Linked DNA regions of Saccharomyces cerevisiae S288C. The protein of the gene in region 1 interacts with the protein of each later gene in a pairwise test. Each region holds a gene or a part of one and is shown on either strand. Other genes may lie near its edges.

Region 1 (3,846 bases):
TTGCCTTGTATCATCATGAACGCTTTTCTTCGTGGAGTAGTCTTCCTATATTGTTTCCGGTGGTTACCATCAAGATAATTTACACACACAAAATTTTCCGCTGTACGTTTGCGAGTGGCATAACGAATAATATGTATCCTATCATTTCAATGAATCACAGCTGAGCACATTTGAATTTTATTGTTAAATGGAATGCCGTTAAATGTATTATGTAATATCCATAAAAGTTCACACTGATTGTTCACTTTTATGAACCTCTAGGATTAAAAGTACGTCTTTGTTAATGAAGCCAGCAAAAAATGGAGAACATCAGGAACAAAGCGGCATAGCTTTGATCTTGCCTTGATGCTTCTAAAAAAATATATACGTTTGTAAGTATATACTCCAATTTTCAATAGTATTTTAATGAATAATTTTTATAAATAGAGGTAAGAGATTAGACACGTTATCTGGAGGTAATAACTAAGTAAATAAATAACAGCTACGTTGCTCTTTTTGGAAAAAGCATAAAACTCAGCCATCTAAGACAACATACTTAAAAAAGTAATAGTCTTTGATACATTCCTCGTGTAGGACAAAAGCAAAAATTCTCTTCCGTTTATTTTTCATGAAAAAAGCTTGTATCATATACACATATCTATATATTTGCATATTATTCTTTTTCGTTTTTTAGAATTAGCCATATGTTCTCGATAATGAGTAAACCTCTTTCAATTAGCAACGTCCTCCTTTGAAGACTCCTTTGAAGCCAAATGGGCTTCCAAAGATGCGATTTTTTCTCTTAATTCTAGATTTTCTTTTTTGGCCAACTGCAGTTCAATTTGGGTCTCTTTTGATCTGCCATATGCTAACATCTTGGCCATTTCTTTGTTCTCGTTTGTTAAGTTTTCTAATCTTACCACCATTTTGTGAGCAATCGATTCTGCATCATACCTGCCATACTTAGTCACTGAATTTGTTGGATTTAGCGCCAGTGCAGTTAATATACTTTCCAGATTTTCTTTCGTCTCTGCTAACTCCTTTTCCTTTGCATGCAGTGACGATGACAGTTTTCTGAATATCACTTCCAAGGAAGCTGGCAATTCGAAAGTTTGGGGTATATGGCAGTTTTCCTTCTCATACTTATGCTCATTCTGCTTGTAGTTTAGCCCCTCGTTGAAAATTTTCTTTAGCCTTTGAATTTCGTTCTCGAGTGATTCGATTTGACTTTCCTTTATTTGTAGTTCTACTTCCAATGCTTCCATTCTGTCATCTTTATTTGAATTCATCTCATTGCTGTTGACATTATTCATTGAGAGCGCTGTCACATGATTAAAAGGAACAAATGAATTCTTGAATGCCGTACTATTGATTGAGGTTTTAGCGGTCATATTAGACATTGATGACATCGAGTCATTAGGATTCCCATTAGTATCCTTGTTATTTGTCATATTATTCATTGGATCCAGCCAATAATCATTAGCAGTTGCCCCATTCATGATATTGTTATGATTGAGAGTATTTCTCATAGATGCTTGTGGTACATTCTGGTAATTATAGGTATTCATTGATGGGGGCATGTTGAAATTTGTTGTACTGTTCAAGCTATGTTGACCCGTTAAGGGACTAGCCGACGAACCTTGAGGAAGCATGGAATTATTCATTTTACTCGCCTGACCTAAGGTGTTCATTAATCCCGGCCTGGCATCGTTTCTTTCACCAGATTCGTATAGGGCTTGTTGCTGTGACTGTTGGTGGGGATGAAATGCCAAATTGTTAAAGGACGTTTCCAACGAATGTTGGGGATCATAATCATAAGCCATGTAATTCATTTTTACAACAGTATTCCAAACGAGCCGTGTATGCAAAAAGAATGAGGTCAAATCAAAAGATCAAGTACCAAGCCAGCTGATTCTCTTCTTACTAAGTTTGACTATCGTTTACATTTCTTGCTTGTTGTTTCATCAAACAATGTACTCTTTTCTTGTTTTAAATGATTTTTTAGCGGCGAAGGTAACAGCAGCAAAAAAAAAAAAGAAAAAACATTGCAAAATAGCTAATGGAAATGGATTTATTACTGAAATATGTAGAAATATTTAACTCGATAGATTTGATCATACACATATAATGCAAAATATATATATATATATATATATATATATATATATATATATGTGTGTGTGTGTGTGTGTGTGTGTGTAAACGTTCTTTTAGCATCTTGTATAGAAATAAATATAACCATTTTTTTTCATATCTTCAATGCTGTCGGCAGCAACTAGTTTCTCATCGTTATAAAGAACCCACTTCCATTTGTCTGCCACTAGTTTACGAATAAAAACAACATAGTGACCAGAATGGACAGAATTTCCCTTATGACAAATAACTGCAGTTAAAGCGTACGGTTTAGCGGTCGAATATCCAAGATCCTTTTTTTGTTGCTGTTCTTCATTTGGCACTTCAGGTTCGGGAAATGTTCCATCATCATCCATGTTGTTAAATACCCATTCAACACTACGATTAACATCTCCGTTGTTGAGTATCAAGGCTTTACGACATAAGTTGGGATTTAGTCCCATGGATAACATTGAAGTCAATGATACCTCATCCACTTCTCTCTTATCTTTCTTGGGGACATTAGGAGGCGGGACAAAGGGATCATTTAAATCAGGGTCATCCATATGCTGGAATAGCCAATTCATAGCGCTCTCAGCGTCTTGGTTTCCGGTGTTAAATAGGGCGCGCACGCTAGCATTTTGAGTAAAGCCCATTTCAATTAATTGAGAAATACTGCATTGGTTTGGCGTAAAAGAGCTACGGTTTTCGTCCTCATCAGGCAATAAGTTTTCAGTTTGAGGATCAAATCCTTGTGATAAATAAGACGAAACATCTAGCATATCATCCCTGTCTATTAAACCTGGTAAAGAAAGCTCATTACTTGTCTTAACAGGAATCCAGTTCTGTAATCTAATCCTTATTGGGTTCAAAATAAGTGTTTGAGGAAGAGATTTGAAACCAGGTTTTTTATTTGCGGTAACCTTTTCCTTACAATTAGCACATTTAAATTCAATCGTCTGCCCTTCAAAATACGCCTTGATTCTCTCTAACATATCTTGAGGTTCATCATTCTCCTCTAAGGGAATCTGTATAGCCTCTGTGGGTTCATAAGAATATTTAACCTTCCCGCAAATGTTACATTGGAGCCTATCCTCCATCATAAATCTAACTAAATCGTTGGGATTTGGAATACCTGAAGAACTACTTGAAAAAAATTTCTTGTCTAACAAGTCTAAAAGGAAGGTTAGAAATTCCATCGCATCCTGTTGTCTATTGGAACTGAATTCCTGATGATTTTGCCCAATGCATTTCTTGAAAGTAGTAGGTTTGATACCATTTGGATATAGTTCGGGTTCACATTTCATGGCATTGAGTAGCTTGATCCATTGGCACTTTAAATTATTGTCCGGATATACAACATCCAGTGGAAATTTACTTCCTAGAAAATCCAAGGACCAATTCGGGACGCCACCATTCACCAAGCTTTGTATAACCGAATTTAAGTAACAGGAATTACCCAAATTGATCAGACCACAGCCATAATTCTTACTAGCGGATAATTTTTCAAATTCTTTACCGCTAGAATCGACCATTCTAAATTGCCAATTTTCGTTCTGTTCCACTTGTAATTGAACTAGAGTCTTTTCATCCGCAATCTTTTCTTGTATGTTAATTCCGTATATTTGTAGTGCACTGCCTAAATTAACATTATCTGGAAATCTAGTTTCGTCGTCACATGCGTAACAATACAGATCATAGGTTGAAGAGCTTAAAGACCCTAATTTGATAGCTAATGGGTGATTATTATTACTC
Region 2 (5,110 bases), on another chromosome or scaffold:
GAAGACGGACTAAAGGACCCGTCTAACTCTAGTATCGATAACCTTGAGCAAGACTATTTGCAAGAGCAATCAAGAAAGAAATCTAAGACTTCCACGCCCACGACAATGCTAAGTAGATCCACTAGTGGTACGAATTTGCACACTTTGGGGTATGTAATGAACCAAAATCACTTGCATTTCTCCTCATCATCTCCTGATTTCCAAAAGGAGTTGAACAACAGATTACTGAACGTTCAACAACAGCAGCAAGAGCAACATACCCTACTGCAATCACAAAATACGTCAAACCAAAGTCAAAATCAAAATCAAAATCAAATGATGGCTTCCAGTAGTTCGTTAAGTACAACCCCGTTATTATTGTCACCAAGGGTGAATATGATTAATACTGCTATATCCACCCAACAAACCCCCATTTCTCAGTCGGATTCACAAGTTCAAGAACTGGAAACATTACCACCCATAAGAAGTTTACCGTTGCCCTTCCCACACATGGACTGATACGCTGACAAGTTTTTGGCGGTGCAGATAAATCAAAAGACAATAGACAAGAATTAATAATATTAACAATTAATAATTAATAAATAATAAATAATAATAATAATAATAATAATAATAATAATAATAGTAATAATAATAATAATTAATAACGATAAAAATATTTAATTATGATAGTAAGAATACATATTTTGATTGTCTTAGTCTTCCGCAGAGATAATTAATTGTTCTCATTTTCAAAGTCATCTATATGTATTGATTGAGCTCTACTGTTGTTTTTAACTTTATTGTGGCCCCCTAAAATATAATTTTTACCAGTATTAACCATTTTGCTCTTATTAGTACTTTTACTGATGGTGGAACCCTTGAAATTTGTCATGGGCGATTCAATCCATAGATTGTTATTGCTGCTTCCACTAGTGTTCTTGTATGGAATTGGTGTCGTAGGTGCCGTAGTCATAGCATCGGTTGCTCTAGTTAAGGTGGTTGGTTGTCTCGTCATATTGGTATTGGTTGTGTTGAATGAATTGTCAAGAGAATAACTCTCATTCATGGAACCAGGTCCTTGTGTGCCGCTGTTATTGTTGCTACCATTACTTTCCTGAGAAATTAGGCTGCTTTTGTTGAACAAAAACCTGTTGGAAGAACATGGAGTAGAGTTTTGAGGCTGCTGCTGCTGCTTACTAACGTTAGTGTTAGTGTTTTTCGACGTGGACGGTATGAAAGATGTGGACGAGTAGACATCGTACTTCGATAACGTAGTAAAGTTTTCAATATTTTTCTGCGCAGCTGATTGTGATGATGTACAATTATCGCTTGTTGATGCTGAAGTTATTGTATTTGGTGGAGTGGATATCACAAATTGAACATCCTCAGGGAATAATTTCAGCAAGTCAGATGTTGTTAGTTTTATTGGCTTAATCTTTGGTTGCTCTTCATAGAAAAGCTCCTTATAAAATGCATTATAAACTTCAGAACCGTCATTCCACAATGTGATGTAATCTTTCAAAGCTTGGAAAGAAAGTTGATTTTTTAAACATAACTTTTTAATTAAATTATCATCATCACTTCCATCCCTAATTTGATGGAAGAACAAATGATTCAATAAGTTTATGGATATTTTTTGTAAAATCAAATCATCCAGAGAAACCTTTGTCGCGAATTTGATCAAATGATATAGTGCTAAATTTTTTTCCTTTATGACCAAATTTTCACACAATTTCAAAGAGCTAAAAAAAATTAGTTGAGAAAATAATTTCTTGACTGAGGAAGACCCGATGAGATTTATATTTTCCTCTTTCTCTTTATGTCCTTCATCTCGTTCTTGGCCTCGGTCTTTTAATTGTTGGGCCAATAATAATGAAGTAAATAATGGAACGAGATAAAGCTGCATGTATTGTTCTATTATCACATGATTGTCTTCATTACTGTGATCATCTGATGATTGAATTAGTGGGTTAATCTTCAGGTCATCATAATCCCTTAGAAGTTTAGAAATTAAAAGAATGGTTAAATTCAAACAGCGTAATACATCATTTACAATCATAATTGAATCCGACTCATGGTCTAGGTTCTTGTCAAAAGTGAAAAGCGATTTCGAAATAGGCGGAATTGGTGGCAAAATTGAGTCCTCAAACCAGTATGGAATTTGGTACCTCGTTTGATATGATTGCGTCCAGTCTATTTTTCTGTTATTATTACTAATACTGCTATTATTGCTATTATTATTGTTATTAGTGATGGTAGTAGTAGTAGTACTAGTGGTGTTAGTACTACCATTAATAACGCCATTGTTGTTAATGTTGTTATTATTGATGTTATTAGTAGTGATGCATTTCCTGTTGTATTGATTAATTAATTGCGAAATACTGCCCATGTTGATTAAGAATTTCGATAGAAGGAACTGAATGATATTTAAAGTGGATGCTAAACTTTGAGTAGAGCCCAATTCACCAAAGTTTGAATGTAAACAGTGAGTAGGAACCAGGATTAAATAATTTAATGCAATGTCGAGCAACAAAATTAATCGATTTTCCTGCAAATAATTCAACTCAGGATGGTCAATAACTTCCATTAAAACTTGTAAGTGAAAGGACAAATCAGTCGGATCAATTTTGTCGCTGGAGTTCTCACCACCACCATTGTCTGAAATCCCATTTTCCATTATTGTAGAAATTGCAGATCGATATAGTTTAGGATCAATTAAATTTGGGAAGTGAGAGATCCTTTTAGAGATCTTGTACACAAAATAATGAGATGGCAAAACTTCTAATGAGGACGTTGATGCTAATGAAGTGATGATAAAAAAATCCACCTGGTAATCCTTTGTTATCCAGCTAGAAATTTTCTCATCACCGTTGATTAAGTTCGTTGCCGAAGGATCGTATCTTTGCCATTGTGCTACCCATATCTTGAGTAAAGTGGATCTCAAACCGAGCTTTAGAAACTCAAATAGATTTGGCGTTATTTCTTCAAAATTTTGAACAATGGAAAGAAGCGACAGTACGCCGAAATTCATTGAGTCCCCGTCCGTGGTTGTCGCCGTTTCTTCGTCATTATCTGCCATAAAATCCTTCCATATGTTCAGATTGTGCAGGATCAAAGGATGGAGCTGTTTATGGATGGAAATGTATGCAAATAACACCGCTATAAGGTCCCATATGATATTGCTATTATTAGCAGCAGTAACGGCTGACTGCAAAAGGGGAGAAAAAACGTCTAACTCCCGCAGTTCCGACTCAAAATCTTTTACAGAAGAGCCTGAAATTGGCAGATACTTAAAAGAGTTTATGAGCTTGAAGGCTATTTCAACAGGATCATTAATGTGACTGTCGATCGAAGCTAATTTATGGTAGGCCTTTAAAATAGCTTGCAAAAGAGCGTCTACGGTGTCTTGGGAGACCCGCGAGGCTGCAGTCACCAGTGGTGCATGGCCAGCACACTTCTGCATTCTGGTGGTGAGGGTTCTGTACTGCTTATATTGTTGCTATTGGTTAATTATGCCTTTTGTTTTCCTCTTTCCCTACGATCCTCCTTATATGAAACAGAAAAAACTGCCGCCGAGATCCAAGCAGAAAAAAATATATTAAGTCAAGGATCAAGGTGGCACACAGGGTAATGAAATTTTTATATTATATATATAAATAAATATCCATATGTCATTGTTAACGTCTTCCGTTGCTAAAATCATACGTCGTTATATACGTTATCGCTTTATACGTGTTAGCTCGATATCATTTGGGACGTGCCGAAATCTCGCGGAATGTTTCCGAAAAAAAAGAAAGAAAAAAAAAAAGGGGCAGGCCCCACAAAGGGGCGCCGCGTGGTGTTACGTACTGGAAAAGTGAATTATGAAAAAAAAGTTCTTCAAGGGGCAGGGGTTTCCGTTTGGCCCACTATGTATGTGTCTCCAGATACGATTATGATGTGCTAATAGTTATTAATAAAACTATATATATATATATTACTCATATATATATTTTCATATACAATGTACTCTTAACTGGTACCTGGTTGGATGCAATAGGTGAGGAAACCTTCAAACAAAACTTTCTTTTACGATTATCTATATCTTTGTTAGAAAGAATAAAATACAGTACAAAAATGAAGACTTTAATTGTTGTTGATATGCAAAATGATTTTATTTCACCTTTAGGTTCCTTGACTGTTCCAAAAGGTGAGGAATTAATCAATCCTATCTCGGATTTGATGCAAGATGCTGATAGAGACTGGCACAGGATTGTGGTCACCAGAGATTGGCACCCTTCCAGACATATTTCGTTCGCAAAGAACCATAAAGATAAAGAACCCTATTCAACATACACCTACCACTCTCCAAGGCCAGGCGATGATTCCACGCAAGAGGGTATTTTGTGGCCCGTACACTGTGTGAAAAACACCTGGGGTAGTCAATTGGTTGACCAAATAATGGACCAAGTGGTCACTAAGCATATTAAGATTGTCGACAAGGGTTTCTTGACTGACCGTGAATACTACTCCGCCTTCCACGACATCTGGAACTTCCATAAGACCGACATGAACAAGTACTTAGAAAAGCATCATACAGACGAGGTTTACATTGTCGGTGTAGCTTTGGAGTATTGTGTCAAAGCCACCGCCATTTCCGCTGCAGAACTAGGTTATAAGACCACTGTCCTGCTGGATTACACAAGACCCATCAGCGATGATCCCGAAGTCATCAATAAGGTTAAGGAAGAGTTGAAGGCCCACAACATCAATGTCGTGGATAAATAAGAGCTGAATAATACTTCTTCAACCTGATGAACTAGGGTGGCTTGCAAATGCACAAATCTATATAACAATATCTATATATATGTATGTACACCGAATTCCGACATATGGAGAAGGAATAATAAAATATTAACTAACGTCTTTACGCCTCTCTTTATTCTTTTTTGGGTAAATTGCTTAAACTATTTGGCCGGCCCACCGCGAAAAGATTTGGCTGGGCCTCAACTAAACGCGCCTTTTTGGACTTTTCACGTTGCAGGGACAGCAACGTCAAAACTTCTGCATTAAGGTAGTTTGGTAGCTTGGTAGCCACTTTAGTATTTCTGCCTTCTTCGAATACCGACATTATTTCTCGCCAATCCAC

What was found.
Region 2: the proteins of MUM2 (region 1) and VIR1 interact in binary tests that used the Saccharomyces cerevisiae proteins (3 or more experiments, as listed by UniProt).

What each region holds. Positions count from the first base shown.
Region 1 is NC_001134.8:351,483-355,328, forward strand, and holds MUM2 (Mum2p), read right to left. Parts: upstream 1,812-3,846; coding exon 711-1,811; downstream 1-710. Other genes in the region: ubiquitin-specific protease UBP14, read right to left, coding at 2,190-3,846.
Region 2 is NC_001139.9:426,936-432,045, reverse strand, and holds VIR1 (Vir1p), read right to left. Parts: upstream 3,446-5,110; coding exon 716-3,445; downstream 1-715. Other genes in the region: transcription factor MIG1, read left to right, coding at 1-498; PNC1 (nicotinamidase), read left to right, coding at 4,099-4,749. UniProt on the Saccharomyces cerevisiae protein: Component of the MIS complex, a complex that mediates N6-methyladenosine (m6A) methylation of meiotic mRNAs and is required for initiation of meiosis, progression through the meiotic divisions and sporulation.